4 linked regions of the Neodiprion lecontei genome follow. The protein of the gene in region 2 purifies or fractionates together with the protein of the main gene of each other region. This does not show direct contact. Links are inferred from orthologs where the notes say so. Each region holds a gene or a part of one and is shown on either strand. Other genes may lie near its edges.

The links.
Region 1: the proteins of MMS19 nucleotide excision repair protein homolog (region 2) and amidophosphoribosyltransferase purify together in Homo sapiens (affinity purification with mass spectrometry; 3 studies listed by BioGRID and IntAct, with this or other methods). This does not show direct contact. The link is inferred for Neodiprion lecontei from reciprocal best matches to the Homo sapiens genes MMS19 and PPAT.
Region 3: the proteins of MMS19 nucleotide excision repair protein homolog (region 2) and Fanconi anemia group J protein purify together in Homo sapiens (affinity purification with western blotting; 3 studies listed by BioGRID and IntAct, with this or other methods). This does not show direct contact. The link is inferred for Neodiprion lecontei from reciprocal best matches to the Homo sapiens genes MMS19 and BRIP1.
Region 4: the proteins of MMS19 nucleotide excision repair protein homolog (region 2) and probable cytosolic Fe-S cluster assembly factor CPIJ010948 purify together in Homo sapiens (affinity purification with mass spectrometry; 3 studies listed by BioGRID and IntAct, with this or other methods). This does not show direct contact. The link is inferred for Neodiprion lecontei from reciprocal best matches to the Homo sapiens genes MMS19 and CIAO3.

Annotation. Positions count from the first base shown.
Region 1 is NC_060262.1:24,778,985-24,786,620, reverse strand, and holds amidophosphoribosyltransferase, read right to left. Parts: upstream 6,008-7,636; 5' UTR 5,852-6,007; intron 3,759-5,851; 5' UTR 3,744-3,758; coding exon 3,539-3,743; intron 3,382-3,538; coding exon 3,089-3,381; intron 2,907-3,088; coding exon 2,657-2,906; intron 1,994-2,656; coding exon 1,760-1,993; intron 1,676-1,759; coding exon 1,548-1,675; intron 1,456-1,547; coding exon 1,234-1,455; intron 1,137-1,233; coding exon 864-1,136; 3' UTR 339-863; downstream 1-338. Other genes in the region: multifunctional protein ADE2, read left to right, coding at 7,126-7,135. UniProt on the Homo sapiens protein: Catalyzes the formation of phosphoribosylamine from phosphoribosylpyrophosphate (PRPP) and glutamine.
Region 2 is NC_060265.1:27,433,436-27,440,415, reverse strand, and holds MMS19 nucleotide excision repair protein homolog, read left to right. Parts: upstream 1-1,727; 5' UTR 1,728-1,769; coding exon 1,770-1,866; intron 1,867-2,158; coding exon 2,159-2,397; intron 2,398-2,520; coding exon 2,521-2,853; intron 2,854-2,967; coding exon 2,968-3,562; intron 3,563-3,643; coding exon 3,644-3,925; intron 3,926-4,023; coding exon 4,024-4,745; intron 4,746-4,868; coding exon 4,869-5,126; intron 5,127-5,269; coding exon 5,270-5,434; intron 5,435-5,605; coding exon 5,606-5,806; 3' UTR 5,807-6,441; downstream 6,442-6,980. Other genes in the region: ubiquitin domain-containing protein 1, read right to left, coding at 778-859; MORN repeat-containing protein 4 homolog, read left to right, coding at 6,699-6,708, 6,881-6,980. UniProt on the Homo sapiens protein: Key component of the cytosolic iron-sulfur protein assembly (CIA) complex, a multiprotein complex that mediates the incorporation of iron-sulfur cluster into apoproteins specifically involved in DNA metabolism and genomic integrity.
Region 3 is NC_060262.1:26,772,792-26,777,355, reverse strand, and holds the start of Fanconi anemia group J protein, read left to right. Parts: upstream 1-1,530; 5' UTR 1,531-1,653; coding exon 1,654-1,745; intron 1,746-4,564. UniProt on the Homo sapiens protein: DNA-dependent ATPase and 5'-3' DNA helicase required for the maintenance of chromosomal stability. Acts late in the Fanconi anemia pathway, after FANCD2 ubiquitination.
Region 4 is NC_060264.1:4,194,012-4,198,982, reverse strand, and holds probable cytosolic Fe-S cluster assembly factor CPIJ010948, read right to left. Parts: upstream 3,142-4,971; 5' UTR 3,011-3,141; coding exon 2,945-3,010; intron 2,834-2,944; coding exon 2,738-2,833; intron 2,609-2,737; coding exon 2,453-2,608; intron 2,341-2,452; coding exon 2,070-2,340; intron 1,974-2,069; coding exon 1,725-1,973; intron 1,635-1,724; coding exon 1,254-1,634; intron 1,179-1,253; coding exon 937-1,178; 3' UTR 540-936; downstream 1-539. Other genes in the region: dynein axonemal light chain 4, read left to right, coding at 3,943-4,002, 4,323-4,571.

The sequences.
Region 1 (7,636 bases), on a different chromosome or scaffold from region 2:
TGAATATGTCGATTGTAATGGTAGTAAAAATAGTTTCAGAAGTATTTCGTAAGGAAAATCTGAATTCAAAAGTATTACGACATATGGGCTCTTTCGCAACTAATTATTCTGTCGCGTTCTTCAAGTAATAGATAAATGCATTGGCATCAATTCTAGTCGTTCCTCATCGACTCAAATCAAACTCGCTCTCTAATCTCGCAAATTCTCGCAGTTGATACTGGACAATTACTTTTCAGAGAAATTGTTAATAATTATACATATTTTTCAAAGCACGACGTAGTGTTTTGGTGTGCGTATAAGTATAAGGGTAAATGTATCTTATTTAAACAAGAATCATATCACTAACAAATGATGTAATATATTTTTTCATTTTTGTAATATACAAATTATGGAGTACAAATTACGTAACATTAAACGTAATCACAAAGTTTACAAAAGTATGGTTCTAGAAGTAATTTACAATGTATTAGTAAACATGTGTATGTTACATAAAGGCCTCTGGTTGCTAATATCATAGCGCAGAATAATTGATACAAAACAGTACATTCAATCAGATCGAATGAGATCACTACAGTATGACAATGTATCTTTCTTAATTCTACAATTAAATTAAATAGTCAATTTTATCTACATTCTAAATGATATATTTTACGCAGCGTGTTACATCTGCTTGCTTAATGATTATCAAAATCCTGGGCTCTGCTGTATCAAAGATCCAAACGAGAAACATTATTCAATTTTTGGTCATATGTAAATTATGAAATTGACAAATTATCGAAAATGTTATTGAAGCGAAATAACTTTCAAAGAATTTTATCAAATCGGTCGAAAATATTGTATATGTAATTTTTCGGTGCCAGTATCTACCAGTCCAAGTCACCAGGTAATTCATCCGGATATTCACCCGTCAAGCATGCAGTGCAATGTCCGATATAACTGCAATCTCGGTTATCCATGCCATGCCTAACTGCTTGAACAAGCCCTTTAACTGATAAATAAGTCAAGCTATCTGCACCAACATGTTTAGCCAATTTTATACTATCCAATTTATTTGCGATTAATTCTTCTCGTGTCGGTATATTGATACCCATGTAACAAGGATATTTGAGAGGTGGAGACGCGATTTTAATATGAACCTGCAAAAAATGTTCCCAAGTTTACATTTATCCAGTTGTTTACAGGCTAATATAAACAATCTTATTAACACATATATATATAATATGCCAATTATACCTCCTTAACACCAGCATCTCGGAGTAGTTTGATAATCGGGCCAATTGTGTTTCCTCTAACAATCGAGTCATCAATTAATATAAGTTTCTTTCCTTTAACATTTGCAGATAGTGCACCAAATTTCTTAGCCACTCCTAATTGTCTCAGTCTTGTGCTTGGCTGAATGAAAGTACGACCAACATATCTGTTTTTACACAAAACCTCAGCAAAGGGTATCATTGACTGAAAAACAAATATCGATATTTTCAAGAAATGGATTCAAAACCACTAAGGCTTCATGGATGATATACAAAATTGTTTGAATCACTATTCACCTGTCTGGCATATCCGTGCGCAGCTGCTGTGCCTGATTCTGGGACTGAGCTAACTATGTCTGCATCTACTGGAGATTCCAGGGCTAATACTTTTCCACACTGCATCCTAACGGAATATACCATTTGACCTGGAATAAAAGAATAAGAGAAATTTCAAATTATGAATTCTTGATGATTGCAAAAAACGAAGGAATATGAAAAAAATTATTCACCTTCAAAAATACTGTCGCTCCGTGCAAAATACACGTATTCAAATATACAAAATGCTTGTGGCTTTTTATCCGGTCGTTCTATTATGTCAATTGTTTTAATTCCTTCACGGGTTAATTCAACAATTTCCCCTGGAAAAACTTCCCGGACGTATCTTGCACCAATACTAAGAAAGCCACAAGACTCGGATGATATGACCCAACCATCAGCCTCGTCCTCATCATCAGATTCATTAGCTGTTGAAGGAAAAGTAAATTAATATTTCTTATTTACACGTATTAGAAATACAATGAAGAGTTTCATGATACATTATCGTTGTGTCAATTAACAACGAAGTAAATTATTTGTAGCGCAAATTTGAAATTGATAAAACTGAATACTCTGCAAGAAAAATGATAATCTGCAGTAGGATCAGGAAAATTCTCTATAAATTAAACACTTCTTTTTAGTAAATGGTACAAACATGAAAAGTGATATTGCGAATTTTGCATGCTCTCTAGTTTCAGTTCTCTATACAGATATTTTACAAAAAAAGCTCAAAACAAATACTAGAAATCAATATAGTAGGTTAATTGCTTTATTTAATCTCTGCACTGAAGTTTTCGTGTAATTTAATGTAATCTACTTCAACATATGACAAGACTATGGAGGTATTTGTTAGACATTTGTATCCGGTCGAACTTAAGGAATATTTCAAAAAACTCGAATATAACAAAACAATCTGACGAACATTTTTTTCTTCCGTTAAAAAATACACGCCATTTCAAAATATGAAAATTGCTATTAAAATGATTAATATATCAACAGTCTAAAGTGCCAGGACGTTTAGTGTTAAATTACGAGACAATGTTCGAATAAATATCTACAATAAACCACTTGCATTCTACACCACCACCCACCAAGATTACCGATGGGGACAATTTTTCCCAGGCACAGAGGTCGATTGCCATACGGATCTCTCACTCCGTAGATTCTGTCCCTATGCATAATAACCAAAGAATATGATAGGGGAGCTAATTGCATAAGGTGTTTAATCCGCGCTGGCCAGTCTGGTCCACTAATTTCGCCTTCAGGAGGATTGAGACACAATGCTTGTGTAATTAATTCTGAGTCAGAATGTGTGGATAATCCAACTCCTCGACTGAGTACCTGTGATAAAAAAAAAAAAGAAAGAAAACGTAATTCAACACTGTGATTAATTTATCAGTAAATTGCTTAATACTCTTGGAAGCTTGAGTGATAAATTCTGCGAATATTGGAAATCAAAATGAAGTTATTAATCTTACATTAAACTAATAGTGGTGCAATTTCAGGGAAAAATTGAAGCCTACCATTTTTCTGAGGGATTCCGTATTTACAAGCTCTCCATTGTGTGCAACAGCCAGTGCTCCATGAGCTGTGTGAACAACAAAAGGCTGACAATTAACTTCTTCACTTGCCGCGCTTGTACTGTACCTCGTGTGACCTATTCCCAGATTTCCTCGCAATCTTCTGATATTTTCGTCATTGAAAATATTACTAATCATTCCCATTCCCTTGTGGACATGAAATGATTTTGCGCAAAGGCCCTTACTCGTCACAATGCCGGCACTTTCCTGACCTCGATGCTGCAAGGCTACAAGTCCTGTTACAAAGAAGAACTCAATTAGCACATCAAAATTATTAAATATTATTTGAGTGTTTAGTACGTTTAAGATGTTTCCACGGTCTTATCCACGGTCAGAAATAATTCAGGGCGTAATTAGCATTGCAGCTCACGTCATTCTAGATAAAAAATTTACCTAAACAAATCACTTGTGCCACGTCAACTTGTGATGGCCAATCCCCAGCAGCAATGCATCCAAACACACCACACTCGTGTGTTAATCCAGAAGTTTTTTGTCCACGTGTTTCACCTTTACTGTGAGGTCTTTTTGTTTGTCTAGTCTGCACAGCAAGCCTAGACATTGCCTTAGTGCAATCGTCTTGCGGCCCATTGCAGGACATATTTAATGTATGTTTCTGTGAATGAAGAATTAAATATCGTGAATTTTGTGTCTGTGAATGAAATGATCAATCCGCTTTTGATATTATCATGCGCATAGTGAGTTGCGAAAGTATTATTTCTGACGTAATTGATCAGTATAAGACCTTTGCCACATTTAAATTTACTAGCACAAAGTTAATGTTGACAATGTTGAACAGGAATTGCATAATTTGCTATGTAATGTCGTAATTCCCACATAGTTGTAAACAGAGGAATCAAAGTCGAAAGATAAACAGCTTGAACTGCCTCGAATATAAACCACAGCTTTGCGTAATAAAAGAATTATTAAAAAACAGGAAAGTGCGTAGGTTCAATAAATTCATTAGAGTTATCAAGTATTGGAAATTTATCTTGTTATTGTTGACAAACATCTTCAAAGTTTTTTGAATAATTTTGAGAGTTAAAATTTCGAAAGATTTGGCTGTAGATGTACTTTATAATTATTTGATCACATCTCATCAAACTTACTGCACATACATATTAGAAAATGAATAAGATCAATTTTTCAAAAATCAATTATTGAATGAGTAGACATTCATATTTTCTTTATCATTAATGTAATTTGACACATTTTACTGTTTCATATTTAAGTTGCTACTTTAACTTGTGCCTTTCCCTAAAATTCTTATTTATCCGGCTAAAATTTTACTATTTCCATGCAATTTAACTGACCATGCGCAAGTGCCAAATAAATTAATTGAAATATAAATTTGCAAGAAAATAAGTCATATATAGCCTGTAAGTGGCAAACAGAATCTTTGATAATGCGGAATGCATAAAAAGCAGTTGCAAAATCACAACTTGAAGCGTTGGTACATTCCATTCTGATAACGAGACCCCCTAGTGATGGTGAATTAACCCGCCCCATTATCAAGCAACTTGTGTATTTTCTTGACCTCTGCAAAGGCATCTTTGCTATTTTATTTTTTATCACATACGTGTTTATAATTTCTTGCAATTTCACAATATCATTTTATATACAATAATATTCTACTGACGACACATGTAGTCCAGATAGTGTTCCAGCATTTGTTATCCTCACCTACCTTATGATTAAAGTTTCTTCTTAAATTACTAATTACCACTAATTATAGTATAGAAATTTTCGCAACATATATAACAAGAATTGAACATTGTCACTAACAGTCATGATTGTAATATTAACTGATACTTGAAGTGATATGCATAATTGTCATCAGTTGCGTGATTTTACGTCAATCTGTTTCTAAATTCTAATGACAACGACTGCGACAGTTCTAGTTCGAACAATGATGAAATTATTATTATCATCATTATGATTATAACACAATTGCTACGTAATCGCGTACAGTGGTTACAGATTGCGTATAACGTGCGTAATTATGCGTCCGCTGTACGATAAAGTATTAAGCTATAAACGATTAAGTTGATTATCTGAAGCTGTAAATTAGTAACAGTAGATATCGGCTCTAGACATGATGTAATTAATGACAAGCACACCCAACGCCCACGTGGTTCGAAATCCGTAAGGTTAAAGCCACCCATGTGACGTGGAAAGTATTATTAACATTCATATTATGGTAACCCAAGTCGGACGTTGTAAACTAATAATTATTAAATTTATAAAAATGCGAGTCGAAACCATCGGTTACGGCACGGGCGCACGAAAAAAACTAAAATTTGTCCATGCTATATGGCGTACTTGATTATTCTGCAAGGTGAACATTTACTCTCTCTGCCTTATACAGTATATTTTCTATTGCAGAAATATACCAAAACACAATGCGAAATAGAAATATAATATTGGTATTTCTTACATATTAGATAAAACAGAACGGAATTGATTAGGTTATGCGAAAATCAAATGATTGAGATCATACTTTTGTATGAGACGGTACAGAACATGCAATGGACACCTGTTGCCGAATCGCGTGTCGAATTCGTGCTGCGACATAAATATAACTTTCGCACAAATTCGAGTGTCGGTATTTGCTCATAAATTAGCTGTGGAAAATCAGCCCAATTTGACGCAGAAGCAATATTTCTTACTCGCTAATGCATGAGTGAATAGTTTAATTCATATACTCACAAAATTTTAGCGTATACGATGCAGTTACCAAAGCGCCAAAACGAACGTGCACGCCAAGCGCTCGCGTGGGTTAGAATGATCCGTAAAGACCAATGGGAAGTAGTTTTTGAGTGGAGGGGCATCTCGCGCCAACCTCCTTCATCGTCGTGCGTATTATATTATTTATCTCCTTTTATACTACACGTAAGGACAATTATCGCCAGCTGTCACATGTACGCAGGAAACTAAATCAATGAAGCAATCCCGCAACGATCGAAACTTGACAAACATTTCATTATACAACACTACTGATCTGCGACCCTTTATTATTGTGTTGTGAACAAATGAAATGTAGATTTACAGCTCGTAAATTAAGTATATACGTTGTTTTCTGATTTTAATTATCTTTAGACATTTCTTCCCTGGTTTAATTATGGGCTATCAAGGCAATATAGTTTTTACGCGGAGGAATATACAAGTATGCTATATTTAAAGGTAACTTATAATCATTGAAAATTTTTGGAAAAGTTGTTGATTTCTTTTACCCAAATTTCGTTCGAGCAATTTTTTGGGTAATCAGTTGTTCTGAAAATCCGGGGTAATTCAAATTCATCATGAAATTTGCAAAAAAAAATTTCCATTCACGAGGAGAGATTGAAATATTCTGAATTTTGGAATTATTATAGTTCAAGAGCTTTAATTTCCGTTGTATAAATATTATTACAGTTGTATAATTGTCGAATACAACTACAGGATAAATTCAAGTTTTACTTATTGTTAGATTGGAAACAATTAATGATTTTCTTAATCTCAAGTTTTAATAGGAGCGCATATATAATAATTTTGCTCCCGAAATTTCAGACATGATTACATCAACCGAAAACGTATCACTACCCCACGATTCTGTAAATTTATCAATACGTTTCTTTGAGTAATGCGATACAAATGTAAGGTCAAACGAGTCATGTTGAGATTTCAGGGGCTATGAATTAATCGGGCTAACGCGATTGTTTCCAAAAAAAAAAAATCAGACGCAGACCTGTGATTATAGTATAAAATTTGGCCTGTCAGTAAATAAAAATTAATCATACATATATTTTCTCGGCAGGGGGTATCACCCCATTTCATACATGGATGTATCGGGTTGACGATAACGTATAATTCGAGCCAATCACGCTGTGGCCGTTGGTGGGAGTTGTTGCGATAGTATTCGACGACTATCCGGCGTCTTCGACAATCGTGGTGCGGTAACTGTGTGTTCAGCAGAGATCCCGACGTCTTTCAGGCAAATCATTATGTCTCATAGTGAGTTGATAAATTATATTAATTGAATTGTTTCGCAGAAGTCCTTCAGAGGATTCAGCTTCTTACAAAGTATACGAAATAAAGAGTAGAGATTTTACCGCATTGGTAGGATGAAGAAGCAACTGAAAATTCGGCGCCATTATCCCAGACTTTTTTCTTTCGACTGTACCCAACTGTCGCACACGCGCATGGGTCGTAGCTTGGCGACCACATAATTTGATTATTTAAGTTATCCATATTTAAACCGCATCAAACTTGTCCATTTATTTTTCATGAATCATTCACTAATACCATAGATAAAAATATGGCCTACCCCTCGGCATTGATGTAGTTCAGCTAATTTAAACAGGTATTCCGAGTACAGGTATTCATGTTCATTATTCAGAGTATTTTTTACTTCATCATTACCACGTCAAAATGCTTGGTACAAACACATTGTACACGCATGAAAGGGCGTCTTACCCTGGCCTTCAAATCCGCTCAATTCAACTCAACATCCCT
Region 2 (6,980 bases):
AAAAATAAATGGCATAGTTAATATTTTTAACTTCATCTGTGACAGAAAGAAGGATTACAAATACCACGCAAAACTTTTTTTAAATTACGCAAAGCACGAGGTTTGACATTTGCTTTACAATTTTATCTGAGGTGAATACAGATAGGCTGAAAAACATCGTAAAATAATGATTATATACCTGTATTTTTTAACAGATATCAACAAATAGCTCGATCTATTGATTGGAATAACTAATACAACAATAAAAAATAAAAGAACTTGCAGCTTTGTGAATAGGTTTCAATCTGGCATAAAAAATAGTTCAACACTTAGTCTTTTTATTGAAAGAAAATCTATTGAGCCATTGAGGCTATGTTTGGTAGCGTGGATCGAGGTCTGACATTTGTTTTACTATTTAGGTCATAGCTTGACAAGGTTCGAACATGTACCTACATCAGCGAATAGAAATTAAAATCACAGGTAGAAGTGACTAAAAACGAAAGCTACATCGTAAATGAGGAGTATCGAAATTTTTTTTTATTTTCAAACTTTCTTTCTGCTTCTTTTTTTTATTCCTTCGTGATTTCATCGCGCGCAATATACATAATGTTACGAGTCGGTATTCTGGATTGGGGAAAAAAATTGAAAATTAAAAAAAAAAAAAAATGTGAACGTAAGAGACCGCGATCGAGTCCTAAATTGCATTTTGAATAAATTACAGTTTTCATGCGGTGACCCATATTAGGTGTACATGATTTCCAAGGTTAGTTGGTGTTTGTTGAAAATATTGTTTCTCACCTGAATTTGTCCTCGTAGAGTTGCCCGACGTGTCGTCAACAGAGCCGTTCCTAGCCCTTGTTATGCCTATGCAGCCTCCCATCCTAGGCGGCGAAAATAACCAAACATTTCACTGGAATTTACCAACACCTTACATGCCATTTTCGTCCATCTTTACCTATTTTATCATTCCGCCACAACGCGCGCTGCCATCACACAAAACCTTGTTAAAAAATCTCTTGCAGCTCGAACTCCTAGGACGCCTGCCTGGGTTGTTTCCAGTGAATGACGTATATGGTCTATGAAGAGAGACGACGACGTGACGGGAGGGTTGCACAAGATGATAGTAATAAATAATAATAAAAATAAGCGAAAAGAATAGTTTTTTTTTAAAACACGATTGTAAATTACTCCGTAGAAACGCGGACCTTCGACTGGCCGTGTCGTTAAATTTAATAGGCTACAATTACTGCTTTCTGTTTATTAAATTTAACCCGTTAAGATTTAACAGTTATCAAAAGAAAATTATATATGTGGATGTAAAAAGAAAGCACGATAATTTAAAGAATGACAAAATAAATCGTGGTTAGGGGGTGACTGTATTATTATATTGAAATCACGAAGTAATTAATTGTTTTTCAACTTCAGACGTTTCTTTTTTTCTCTCTCTTTCTATTTTATCTTCACGAAGGTTTCCTCATACGCATATGTATATGCTGGAAGTCAGAGATAATAACCTGCGGCGATTTTTCGCATGTAATGTTATTATTAGAATTCATAAGATATCAATAGAAACTTGAATCGTCAAGGACTTTGATAAATTAGACGTCATATTTAAGAATTTGTAGATGTTTTCGTATTCATGTACGCATTCTAAAAATCATCAACTGTGCACGATATTTTACAGGGCCATGCCGCGATGTCGAATAGTGCGTAATTATTCGGCGATCGCCTTTTGTGTTGGTAACTCTACACACTGATCACTCACGGTATTGAAAAATTCAGGGTGAAATATGGAGGTTTCAGCGAGCTCCTCACTCACCGAGAAGTTATCGGCAGCTTTAAAGAACGATAACGACTTGATTAAGGAATGTCAAGATATAGCCTCAGGTATGCATTATCATAATTACTTGACTAATGACGCGCCTGCTGACCTTGAAATATCAGGCAAAACAAACTTGTTGGGACTGAGGTTATCTTCTGTCTCTATCGCTCTGTCTTCATTTCGGAAAATGCATTCCATCAAAATTTTCAAAATGATCAGCTGACATGAAGAATATTCAATTTTTCGTTGGTCCCATATATTTTGTTCAGTAAATAATTATCCGTCGATCAAACCTCATGTTTTCACCTGCGAAGTATCTACTCTGCGATCGATACATCTCTCATTTCATATTTTCAGATATAGAATATGGAAAATTGAAGCTTGTGATTTTCGTTGAGGAACTCGCTCCGTTTCTCACTGACAAAAATGTTACTTCGAGAGCTCAGGGAACGCTTGCGTTGTCAACAACCCTGAAGCACTTGTCGAAAGATTTTCTAAATGAAAATGAGCTAAATTTTATCACAAATTTTTACTGTGATCGGATGAAGGATCAGCATGAAGTTATTCCATCGGTTTTACAGGGTGTCCTGACTATCGTGAGCTCTTATATTCAATATTATGTTTTAAAATAAATATCAATTCTCAGTCATCAATTTTCCTCTATAATTCACAATATGAACCAGTGATTACTAATTTTCACTACTTTCAAAATGTTACAGGTACAGATGAGCCGTTTACCTCAAGATTCGCCTGCTAGATTGTTGAACCTCATGTTTCAGCATGTACATTGTCAGTCACAGCTGCAGCCTATTCGAAAGTTGATATATTTGATATTCCAAACACTCCTACAAAATAGAAAAGATGCCTTACGTTCCATGGGGCCTGATTTTATATACGGAGTAATTTCATCTATAGACGGCGAACGAGATCCAAGAAATTTGATGCTGTTATTTGACATGCTTCCAAATTTTATTCAAGAATTTCCATTGGGCCATTTGACAGAGGAAATGTTTGAAGTTATTGCTTGTTATTTCCCAGTTGATTTCAATTCCGTAAGTAGCCCTAATCATGAAATTTTCAATTTTTGGTTAGTATGAAATTTTAATTCCTGTTTTATAATTATTCGACATTTTTTCATCTTGTAAATTTTTCAATCAATTTTACAGTCTGCATCAGAGGCTCAAACAGTTACTCGTGATGATTTGGCGTACGCCCTAGCACCTTGCCTTTACGCCTCTCCAGAATTTGCCGAATTTTGCATACCTCTCATAATCGAGAGATTAGACTCGAGCTTAAGACTAGCAAAACTAGATTCATTGTATCTTTTACGCAAAGGTGCTTCTACCTATGGAGCCTCAAGATTGCAACCACACCTTGCTGAATTATGGCCAATTATACGAAAAGAAGTCTTCCCAGGCGGGGATATTGAGATGAGAAATGCTGGATTAGAAACTATAACTGAATTAGTTAAAGTGTTGTCCACAGATGATGTAATACGAGACAGTTTCATCGAAAAAGTTATCACAGATACAAAATCATCACTGTGTGACGTTCAATTGAGCCTTTATTGGCCGGCTGAAAAATTGTTGGAAGCAGTCGCTAAGGCAAATAAATTAGCTTGTGCCCAAGTTTTGAAAACCTTTATACCATTGTGCCTTGGTCAATATTCAACAAAGACTTCTTACTCGGATAGAGTTACCTTAACAGAAAGTTTGAATAGTTTGATGGCAATATGCGAAGAGCAGAGATTTGTAATAAATAGTATGTCAATGCATTCAGCTCACATCAAACTTAGTAAAACAATGCACAATTTTTAATCTGTTACGTTACCAAATTTTACAGGTGTGCCCGAACTTGCTTGGACAGATATACCAACATTGTACTTGAATGCCTTAAATACTGATAATATTGAGCTAAAATTGAAGACTTTCTCTGGATTGGCAATACTGAAATCGTCGTTGAGTGACGTGGCCAGAAAACTTCTGTATGAAAAAATTTGTATGGCAGTAGATGATGGAAATAATCAACTAAAGAACACATGCCACATATGTCTGTCAACTTTTGCTAAAATTTATCCAAACGAAATTCTGGGTACCGTTATAAACCAACTAGCTATCAATGACTGTAAGCTTGAGATATTCATTAGCAAATTAACGTACACCACTTTTCTTATAATTAATTTCTTCAGTTGGATAAGACTAATGAATTAAAATTATTTCCAGCAAACACTGATAATACGGTATTTACTCACCGATTGCAAGCCTTATGTGCTGTAGCAAAAATACCAGAATTAGGTCCACAAATCCTACCTAATGTAGTAGTGGTAGCTATGTCTAATAAATTGGAAAAGAGTATCGCAGCACTGTGTTGTTTGCGAAAACTTGTAGCTGGGAGAAGCGATACATTCAGTATACAACATTTTTTGTATAAAAATTGTAACATTGTTGAGTTATTGGTATCAGCAGATACAAGTGGCTGCTCCACTCAAAAATTAAATTTAATTGCATCGATTTGTCGATCTATAGTTAGAAAGTTGGATGTGAAGGACCAACAACAAATTGTAAATAAATATGTTTCAATTCTTAGTGAAAAACTTTCCGAAAGCAATGTGATTGTATTGGAAGGACTTTTAACACCATTGCAAAGAAATGTTGATATTGCTAATAAGGTAAACTTGTTAAAAAATCTATTACACCTTGCAATCAACAGCGTCAGTTCGAGTTCTAAAGAAGTATCAAGTAAATTGATATCAGTATTGATAAATAAACAAACCGAAGACAAAAATTTCCTAATAGTTTTAAATATGCTGAGGGACCGTATCAAAAACATTTTGGAACACGATTCGAATACCGAGCTCAAAGAGTCAGCCATCTTATTGAATACGTGGCTGACGAAAGCTTTGGTTGTCAGAGGAAGCCAAAATTCTCAAGAGTATCTTGATTTCGTAAGTATAAGAAGACGTAATTCAACTTTACTTTGTACCATTTTATGTCACATGATATATTGCATATTTTCTACATCGGAGAATGAAAATTATGTACTAATCAAGATTTTATGTTTCTTATAGCACATAAATTTGCTGAAGGACATGGAAATGGGTCACAATGTTGCAAATGGTTTTAAAACTCTATCTGATAGGTTTGAGGATACTGTGACTGAAGAGAACTTCTGCAATGTTAAATTATTCTACAAACAGAGGATATTTCAGAATGTCATTCAAAAAAACAACGACTTTGATGCACAATCAAGAGAAAACTACCTAATGGCTCTAACACATTTAATCGAGGAAGTTCCAATGGAACTATTGCTCATGCATTTAGAGCCGGTAATATATATTTTATTTAATTTTAATATAACAATAATGATTATAGAGTTTACCAATTTATCACACGCGTGATAATTAATGAATTTACACTGCGATACATCATACTGTTATTTCAATGTGTTTGAATCTTTTTTTTTTTGAAGCTTATCCCACTCCTAATTGAATCCATGGCACTGGACAGCTCAGAGTTAATTCTGTCGACACTAGTGACCCTGAAAGTTTTGCTGGACACAGGGCACAAGATCTTCCATGAGCAAGCACAACACTTTATTCCCAAATTACTGAGTCTGACGAAACGTAGGGAAATGGTAATAATGATTCGCAGAAAATTTTCATAATTGTGCTTAAGTTTTAACTTGAAAAAAATTTGATCTTATTCCAATGGGTTTCATCAGAGTACCTTACCCTGAATACAAGTATCCAGTTTTACCTAAAATCCATGCTAGTTTTCAAACTTCGACTATTGTTTTATTTTTCAGAAAGTCAGAACTGCTGCATTGGAATGTTTGTTGCATTATGCAAACTACCCGACTGTCTTGATTCTACCTTTTAAAACGGATGTCTTGGAGCGATTAGCTGTGGCGATCGACGATCGAAAACGTTTGGTCAGGTCAATCGCTGTGAAAGCAAGAACTCGCTGGTATCTTGTTGGGGCACCAGGAGAACCGAAACAATCTTAACTCAGACGGAATAGCCGATTGTTCAATTCATTATTATAGTTTCATTTACACAAATGAATTTAAGAAAGGAAAATTGAACTTTGCCTGAACAGTCTAGATAGAATGCAATGAAAATTGCTTCCTCAGGCGAGTCTTCCCTGAAGACCTTTATCGTGGTAGCTGATGCCAATGTGTGATTTCAGACAGTTTCTGCCGTTACTGTCTTTTATTTTTGGGAAATTCTATAGATATTGATCTGTACTATAGTATCCAATGTTACCTTCAATCGTCCGTAAGGTACAGGCGAAAGACTTATCACGTAATAATATGATTTATTGCATGAAATCATAGAATAATGACCTATTGCTTCTTTGAAGTATTTCACAATTTTTATTCATTCTAACAACCGCAAATCAAAGTGATTTCCTGTTGCATATTTAACTGGAGTACTTTGCATTTGAAGTATTGCTAAAACGCCCAAAAGTTTTTAAGAATAAAAAAATATTGATACTGTCTCATGTTTTAACATAAAGGTTGTACAGTGTGTTGAAGAGAAGTAGGTACTTGCTAAAGATATGGAATATATGCACATGTCGATTTTACAAATGTCCTATTAAGTGTAGGTATGTAAATAAATTATGTGATTTCTGAAAATTTGAGATTGTTCTCAAGTATGCGTTTATTATGTCAGTTAATAAAGTAACTATTTTTTACGGTTGAAATCAGGTGGCATGGTTAAACGATAGATTTGTGTTTTCATTATATTTCTTTACAATTTTCAATAAAACTTCGTAGGTACAGAATCTATAAAATAACAATCTGCTCCAACTATACCTAATTGAATCAGGCATTGATCTGGAGTAATTGGATTACTTGTGGAAGCCACATTTAATGTGTTTAGTGTGCCGATACAATGGTTGACGGTAAGAGGTGCCCGATATTTCGTCTGTTATATTTTTAAAAAAATTATTCCCCGTCTACAAAGTAGAACTGTAAAAAAAATATTTATATTTAAACTATTCATCATTGCCCTATCAACAAAATTTTTCACAAATTTAGAAACCTAATCTGAATATGATAGCAAAATGTATCCAGCAGGTGGTGTGGCCAAGAACGGTGCTTACAAATATGATGATGGTACAAGGTACGTTGGTGATTGGAATGGCAGGGGTTTGAAGCATGGAGCTGGATCATT
Region 3 (4,564 bases), on a different chromosome or scaffold from region 2:
CATATATACATATATTATGATATTCATATTACGTATGAATATTACGTTTGTGCTTCGGTAATATTCCAGTAAAGACGTAATACGGAGAATTTCAACAATTATTGCCACAACCCTTTGGAAACACAATTTCTTGTCGTCCGAATGGTTTTTCTTCTTGCTGATGTCATACTACAGATTTTTACATCCCCGAATTTAGGATATTTCAGGTTTTGAAATTCTGCTCTTTCGAATTTAGACGTAATACAAGAAAAATATAAATCTTTCTAATGTCTGGAAAAAACTTCAATTTTGAAATAGTTAATGTATTTTTATTTAAAAGTCAGATTTTGTTATTAACAGAATTTTAGAATCATATATCTGTATCTGAAATGAACGAAAGGTGTGTCAATTCTTATAAACAACTATCGCTTCTACACGATCTTATTTTGCTTTTAAGGGAGGTTCAAAACCATCTGTATAATACCTGTACATATTTATTTTTAGCCGATTCTAAAACATTTTTGTGCACAAAAATGATGTTGACGTTGCAATATTGCAAGTATTAAATTTTACAACTATAATTTGAAATTAAATTGTCTCTTTTTGCAGAGCTATTATACATATAATAAATATTATATAGTTGATCTCACACGTATTAAAGTAAAAAAAGCGAACAATGTTGTGAGATGACTCGCATTTAATAATTCTATTAAACGTAATATTAGCTTGGGAATCTTGAATGAAAAAATCTATTTTCAATTTAAACTTGAGTATACGATTGAAGCCTAGAATGGATCTATTAACGTAATCGTGAAACATATTTTCTGGCACGAGAATTCGATATTTTGATTTTTTCTTTTAAATCCGTATTAGATTATACTCAGATCATGTTAATCCTCGAAAAAATGTCGTACCACCGCGGTAGCTTCATTCGATGAAATATTAGAATCCAGTGATACCTATTATTTTCGAGAATTGTTTCTCAGTTCATAAAATATATAAACACATGAATGATGTAATAAATTCCTTTATTATTTTTAAACAAAAATTCCAAGTTTCAACTTAACGACGAATGCTATTAGATTCGTAATCCATCAAGGCATGTCTTGCGATTAATTCATAGGTTAAAAATAGGTTCAATTGAATCGTCCTATCGCCCCTAAATTTTGAGTTATATATGCGGGTAATAACACAAAAAAGAAATCACGAAAAACACTTGTCCGGTGGATTAGATCACATCTCGATATATCGTTGCAAATACTGAACCCGAATCCGTAGTCAGAATCGCTCCGTCACCCCAAATACTTCGGTGTTCAAATTATAGTGGAATACCCCATACACGACTCAAAATCTGTGTGTAACGGAACAATTCTGACCCCAGATTCGTATTCCTCATGTTTACACAAGTACGATCGTCTAGTCCGCCGAACAAGTCGCGTTATTCGCGTGCCTGTGCTACTCTCTTTCCGTTGCGTGGCGTTCGAAATTCGAAACTTGTCGTGTGTCCCGCGCCGAGTGTCGAGGAATCGATTCTCCCGAACGACGGTCGAACGTCGAAGCGTCGAGTGCCGAGCGAAAGTCGGCCCCGCTAAGCTCCGGCTATTTGTGTCCTCTAACCTCAATGTTTACCTTCGGCGTTCGCCGACAAACCAGCAGATAGGTCATCACCGGGCGATGATCATCGTTCTGGCAGCGATATTCATCATCGTCTGTGTCTACTCAGGATCCCTCGCCTTCGTAAGACGGCGCCTCGATCCTCCGTCACCGTGAGTATTCGCTAAAATCTTGACGTTTGAGGTTAGATTCGCACCCCGTATCGCTCCCCCCTATCTTATCTGTGTATATTATCGCTCCATCTCTCATCGTCATCGTCGCCACTCGTGGCCTTACGGCGAGCTTGCTGCTCGCATTATCAGCCCGTGTCACTCCGTTCCTCTCGTTTGGCCTTATCCGCGTGCATCAGTCAACGACACATCGAGTCGCGTGGTCGCGCGGAGTCAGAGAGACGCATGCGTAGCTTTATTTTGCTTCATATGTGTACGCCACGGATTTCTCCTGTACACGAGGTCGTGGCGTGTGTCATGGCAACGTCCACCTATTGGTGCTTACGTTTAACCGCGCATTCGTGGAACATTTTTGAACGAGGGCGGAGTAACGCTTGAAATCGTTAATTAAAATTCATTGTGTATTTGCTGTTTTGCATTCGCCATTTAGATCAGATTTGTACGTGCATTTTCAATTTTTTTTTATTCGATATTGTGTAAGATTTAGGTACTGCATTCAGCGTCGGTCACGTGTCGAATATCTCTGTTCAAATAGATCGTACAATTTTATAAAAATTTTCGAAAAAGAACGATTCCCTCTGATTCGACTAAATTATGTTGGAATTGCAAAATCTTCGTTTAATGTAACGAGCTCTGAAACTGTAATGTAATGTTTGCTTGTATCCTATCTGGAGCGTAGCGTAAGAAATTTCATGCACATACCACCGACAGTATTTGTTAAGCGCTGAATTAAATATGAATAATTTGAAAGCCGCAGAGTCCTGGTTGGTTAGTAGTAGAAAAACCCTGATAATAATATTTACAGTATACAATACCATTCGACATTTGATAATTCATTTCGCATACCTATTTTACAAATTTCATTTTAAGCTAGAATTGAAGTAAACATATCTATTTGTCCGTTTAAACGACATTTTTAGAAGCATTTTACGCTTCAATTTACCAATTATGAGTAATTAAATGTTATGTTATGGTCGATTTCCAGTCCAACGCATCGTTAGAATTGTTGACAATATTTTTCCTGTATTCATTCACCGTGAAATTACACACAGTTATTGAGGAGAAACCAAAATAGAATGATTTGAAAAATTAAAAAAGTCGTTAACGCGTAATTCAATCATTCAAAGAAAAAAAGAAAGGAAAAAAAAATAAGGTTGGAGTCAGTAAGGTTCACTTGAAAGAATATATTCAAATTGTAATATTTATTTAATATTTCGCTATTTTAGAGTAATTAATTCAGGAGATGTGTTTTCAAAATAGAATTATGCAATCTTTTATTACGGTTTTTGTAGTCAGCTGATACTTTTCTGATGGAATGACAATTTTTCCTAAAAATAAATTGTGCCATCAACGTTACGAACTTCAATGGCGTCAAAAAAAGGAATTACGAATTAGACTGACTTATGAGAATTATTTTCAAATCATGAAACACCTTCAAAAATATTTTTGATCCAAAAAGACTGTAATTTTGATTTAATATCTCTGACCACCCCTACTTTTTAACTCATTTTATTGAGATAAATTCAAATGCGTTTCTGGATCAAGATGCCGTAATATTTGGATATTTAAACACATTAATTGAGAGGAACAATATTGTTTGAAAAAATTTCAGCGGTCAGTAATTTGAGATGAATCCGGTTTCTCAGTAAATTTTTTTCACGCAGCGAAAGAGCGTTTTTGGGTGAAAAATACAGACTTTGTAAAGAATTCGTAGTTGAAAAACGAATAAATTTATTTATAAATGTTAGAAAAATGTGGAAAACAAGTGAGGAATAATACGCGATTCCATTATCACTTCGTGACTACTGGAACGAAATTAGTTGCCGCAATTAGTCGCGTAAGAAGAACAACGAAACGAACTTCCATTGCTTGGGGAATTCCGAAATGAAATTGAACCAACTTCTGACAGGTTAAAGCCCCAGTTTTTCCTTGTCAACCCTTTTTTCACTCCGTATTGCCTCAGATCGACATATGGCAAGCTACTCCGGTGTCAAATGTATCCTACAACTCGAATTCAGCAGTATCGAGCATGTGTGAAAGGGACAACTGCATGCGATGGAATTGCGGTGTAGAAATATAACGATCACTTTATGCACCTATATTCCATCGGAACTTGTCGTCTTGCGAGTGCACAGTGAAATATACGACACGCGGTGCAGTCCATTCAACGACGTTGTAAAGAAAAATGAGCCCGCGACACAGCTGGCAGAGGATGTAGCGTGTCGAGAAATGCCATGTGCAGCGCGAAACGCCGAAACGTTCGTCTCGATTATCGTCGTCTTAGAGTGTCTTCTTGTACATCTTCCTAATTTTTTTCATTTTCCTTACCTCCGCTTCCCGTGTACGTACGCGGCATTTGTCAAGTACTTACCCTAATTCATGTAGAAAAGGCTTTCCGCTGTTATTATAAAGCATCGCTCGTTTTCAGGTGCAGGACTTTTATTGCGACACCACACGAGACATCTTATATATTGTGCACTCTTTTTACTGTACCTATGAATGAAGATTTGAATCCAAGTTGAAGGTGGGAAAGAAATAACCTAGAATTTTATTTATGAAGATACTGCGGAGTTTTGTTCTTGGAGAAAATTTACAGCTTTGAAAATGCTCAATGAATCCGCCGGCGTGCTTGACGCGGAGCTTGCGTCATTAAAAATTTTAGAGTCGAGTCTAAGTTCTGTACTTGCGCACCTGTTACTCGACTTTCTTCCAAAGTTTCCAGAACTCCAGAAGTTTCTACTCCCTCGCGAAACCCTTTTACATATTCTTGTTTGTTTCGATTCCGCTACCTTCGGTACAGA
Region 4 (4,971 bases), on a different chromosome or scaffold from region 2:
AATGCGTTTATTTCTATATATGTATATATATACATATCTGTATAGAAATCTTACTCGATTGATGATGCATAAAACGGAAGTAACACAGAGCACCCAGTACGATTTATGATTTTAATAAATATTAGCTTGTATTGAGAATTGAATTTCATTTAAAATGGTTTGTTGAAGAATGCAAAGGGCTTTACTAGATTGAAATCTTTGTTTTCGTGAAATGTGGAATTGATTGGTATTCATTTCAGAAAATTTTGATTGAAAATTAAAATTAATGAATTGCAAAATATGTGGTTACATAAAACAAATGGTCCAATTCGAAAAAATGGAAAGCAATACCGTAAAGTAAGATGTAATAACATTTCAAATAACAGATTTCAAAGTATGAACTTATTTGGATATGGAAAAATAGAGAGAGAAAAATGGCATAATTCTTTCGAAGTTGCATCGACGTGATTACCTTATATTATGGATATATTCATTAATCAGAATTGTAATCAGGGATGTGAAACATAAAAGAGAATGATATTAACTTTTTTCCGAACTAATGCAACATACCTGTATATAACTGGAAGTTAATGTTAGTAACGTGATAATAACACTATGTAGAATAGATGAGAAACCGAAAAATATTAGTAATTTCGCATAATACACACAAACAGTACAATTTTAATTCTTAGATAGATTTTTTGAGTAACACTTAATAACACTCGAACTCAAAACTTGTTGTTCTGGCATGAAATATGTGTCGATTTACTTCAGTATTGTACCACATATTTATTTCATATGATTTTAATTTGTAAATATATTTCAAATGATAAAGATGTTTATAAATATTAATATATCGTAATTGCTAATACAAATCATCCAATTTTGTTCTTTACCTTATACCAATTTGGAGAATTACCTACTTAGTTATTAGTTGTGCCATTCTTGTGGAACATTTCACCACTTAATCGCAAGTGCCGTATTCATCTTCTCTATTTCATGATACTGCGTATGGAGGAAAGCAGCGGATTTGTCGGAGTGCTCGCCTTCAAGCCACGTAGTGTACAAACTTAATGTAACACAATTTTCTTCTGGTTTACTTAAAGGAAGACTGTGATAAACTGTTTCAAGTTTAGCGGCCAATTCACGTGGCTGTAAACCATCCTGAGGTCGTATTTGGGCTCCACCGTTGAGGCAGCCTATAAAGATGAGAAAAAAACCAAGTTTTAAGAAACGAATATTGAAATATGCTTTGTCGCTTGAATGAGACTTACCTGAAGGACAGGCCATAACTTCAACATAGTGATACGGAGACTTCCCTCTTTTAAGTTTCTGAACGAGGTTTTGAATGTTTTTAAAGCCATTGGCAATAGCGAACCTGAGTAAAATTTTTCCATCTTTTTCCAAAACTGCCTCCTTGAAATCTGGATTTCTTAGATTTTTAAATTCAACAGTAGTATTGGCTTCTTGGAAAAGATGATAAGCGGCGTACTGGAATATGAAATGAGCATAGCCACCTGATCCCGAGCCTTGATGTCCCCAAAGTATTTTGTCAGATTGTTCTTTGTTGTATGCACCAAAAGGTCGGTCTATTTCACCACTTTCAACATCGTTCAATGACACTCCCTGACTAATCAACATGTTTTCCAATTCAACTGAAAAAAAACAAAATTCATAATCACGAACAATGAAGATGAATAAATTCACAATAATGCATCTCGACACGTTTTACTAATATTGCATACTTGACGTAATCACGCAGTCGACGTCTCTGGTCTGCTTAAGTTCATTGTAAAAATCTTCTCGAGAGGCTTCCAATTTTTTATCATAACAGGGCATCACGCTGATGTGATATACTCGCTCAGGAGGTAGCCCTTTGTACTTGGTCAAATGGTATTTGACCAAAGAACCCATTACTTGTTGTGGCGATTTTGTCACACTTATATAGGGCAGTATGAAATTTCCGTGAGTCTTTTCCGCGTAACAAACCCAGCCTAATTGTACAAAGAAAGAAATTACCTGGATGGATTATAATAATACACAACTGTCGGAATTTTTAGTCACAGTATTCGGTAAAAAATAAGCTATACCTGGACAAGACGAAGCCAGCATCGGTATTTGACCTTTGACATTATCCTGAGAAGACTTATATCTTTCAATAAATTCTCTCGCTGATTCCAGCAGAGAAAAATCATCTGCTGCAGTCATGTCCAATATCATATCTGCTCCCAATTGACGAAAATGACCAGCTAATTTCCGGGTAGCGCTTTCTGGATCCAAACCATAGCGCTCGGCTAGCGACAAAACTGGCTGTACTGATAAACTCACTACGATGAATCTCGCCTCTTCTTGTTTTCCATTCTGTGAAACATCAAAACGTTGTCATTAATTTGAGAATAGATTGTGACCAACTTTTTATCGACTCTGCCTCCATTCGAGAAACAAGGAGTACGATGTAGATATAATGCATTACCTCTCGAAAGTTCTGATTTTCCTGTAAGACCCTCAGAAGTTCCTCTTGGCTCTGCTGAGTAACAAGAACGCTTTCGGCCGATGTTATACAGCCGCTGCAAGCTAAGCAGTCGGCTAAAGTGATCTCGACTTTCTGAAGTTTTTCCGAAGTACCAGACTGTGATAAAGAAATAAAAATAATTAATTGGGTGAAACATGCTCGGTTCAGTTTCGGAAGTGTGAAAAGGTATTAGTTCTGACTATATAAAAGGACAGCATTTATAATATTCATTATTAACAGACGAACCTCATTTAATTCTACATAAGCTCCGTCTTCCTGTATTTTTATTTTAGCCCCTGTCTTAGCCTTCGACTTTGGTATTTCAATTGGTTTTATACACTCCTGTAAAACAAATTCGAATTTAGCGCCTATTCTTATACGCTCGAGAAACTGGACATGCAAATACAAAAGTTTAGGTGATATTCTACGGGAATAACATATTTTTAAACTTACCAGTGACGGAGTTATGAAATCGTCTAAATCCGTCAATTGCAGAGCACCACTAAATCGTGATGCCATGTTTTAAAACTTTATATTGAAATCAGTCGGAATATCAGGTGTATACTTCGCAATACATCAATGACTATCACTTGCGCACACGACAAACTGCGTGATTTTCCCAGTGTACTAGCGTCAAGCTAATGTTACTTATACAATACAGTAATAGCTCGGTAATCGCGGGTGGCGCCACTTTACACTTTTAGAAGCAACAATGACCAACAGTGGGAAAGAGCGTTTTCGAATCCATCTGGTGGCAAATAATACACATTGCAACTCTGAATACAATTCATCTGGATTCGCATTGATTTGAGTTTTGTAAAAGAAATTTGTCATTATATTTTGAAATCTACACAGACGGTAAAACTCTTGCAATAAAATAAACTGCAACTGTAGTCAATAACAGCTTAGACGCAACACAATTGCTTGGCTCTTTTTGACCATGAATTACGAGCACTATTAATTGTATTTTGCTTACGAGATAAAATTAAGGAATTTGATTGTTTTAAATTATAGATATATTACGAGTTCTCGAGCGTTGACATTCCATATACCTGTATATGAACAACAATCGAAACGGACAATATTAAAACACAGCGTGCGATGTCGCGATTGCGCCGGCGCCTATTCTTTCACCATTCACGATGACGAAATCGAGTGCATAGATACGTGGGGGGTGATTCTTCCTCCCTGTTGCCTTGGGAAGTAAATATTTTGCCTCCTCCCTTTCTGCCAAATGCCCAACGCCCCGTTTCCTACTTGACATCTGATTTCACGACTCCGCATGAGTCACGAGCGCAATAATTTTGCCCCAATTTCGCCTGCTTCACGGCAATTTTCTCTGCATCAGTGTAACACAGGTGTTTCGTCGTGTGTTGCCGCACATACAATTAATAGTGTAATGCAATTATAACTACGATTGAGATTGAATTATAAAAATAAACAACAGAACGATGACGGAAGTCAAGAAGGACGATGTCGTCAAAATACTTCATACGTATCCCTTGTGTCGCGTGAGTTTCAATCCCCATTCAATTACAAATATCTAAACGTAATTATAATGTACATTAAATTTTTCTCGAAAATAAAAATAAACAAATTCGAATCATGTATTCGAGCAATTGATTTCTTCTCTAATTTTGATGCAATATCTTTGCATCTTTTTGTGTAATTAGAAATTAAGATTAACAAATGAACTTAGAATCAAGTGTATAATATTGAATTCAAATTTAATTTTCACAGTCGTTCAATAAATAAACATTTTCAGTGGAAATTGAAGTTAATGGGGCATTCTTGTATTTTTATTTTTGTTGTTTATTGTTTGTTCCAACAGAAATGTGACATGAGCGACGAGATGAAACAGGAAGCGATGGAGTTATGCGTAACGGCAGCCGAGAAGTACGCGGATAATTACGAGAGTGCTTCGAAAATGATTAAGGAAACGATGGACAAAAAATTTGGAGCATCCTGGCACACGGTAGTGGGTGAAGGATACGGATTCGAGATTACCTATCAGCTAAAACACCTTCTGTACATGTATTGCGCAGGAAATTTAGCTATTTGTATATGGAAATCCGCGTAGCCATAACATTAAAGTCTATTTTGATAACGGTATACTAATGCTATCAGCTAGACAAAAAAGCTACTTCACTATCCTAATCACAAGCAATTGATAAAAAATGTTTCTAAATGTGCTAACTCTGTGAGATGAGTATTGGCAATATATTTAAAGATGTATTGACGTTGTCATTCGTGTAAATGGTTTCACTATAGATTATAAATATTCTCGTTCCTATTTTTTCAACAGATTAATACCGATCTTAATTGGTTTTCATATAGGTACTTTATATGTTGCAATATCGTGGTTTGGAAAATTTTTACGATCGATAATCTTTACTATAAAAATTGACGATAAATCGATGTTCGAATGACTGATTAATAATAGTATAAGTACAAACAGACTCTATGGAATTTGATTCTGA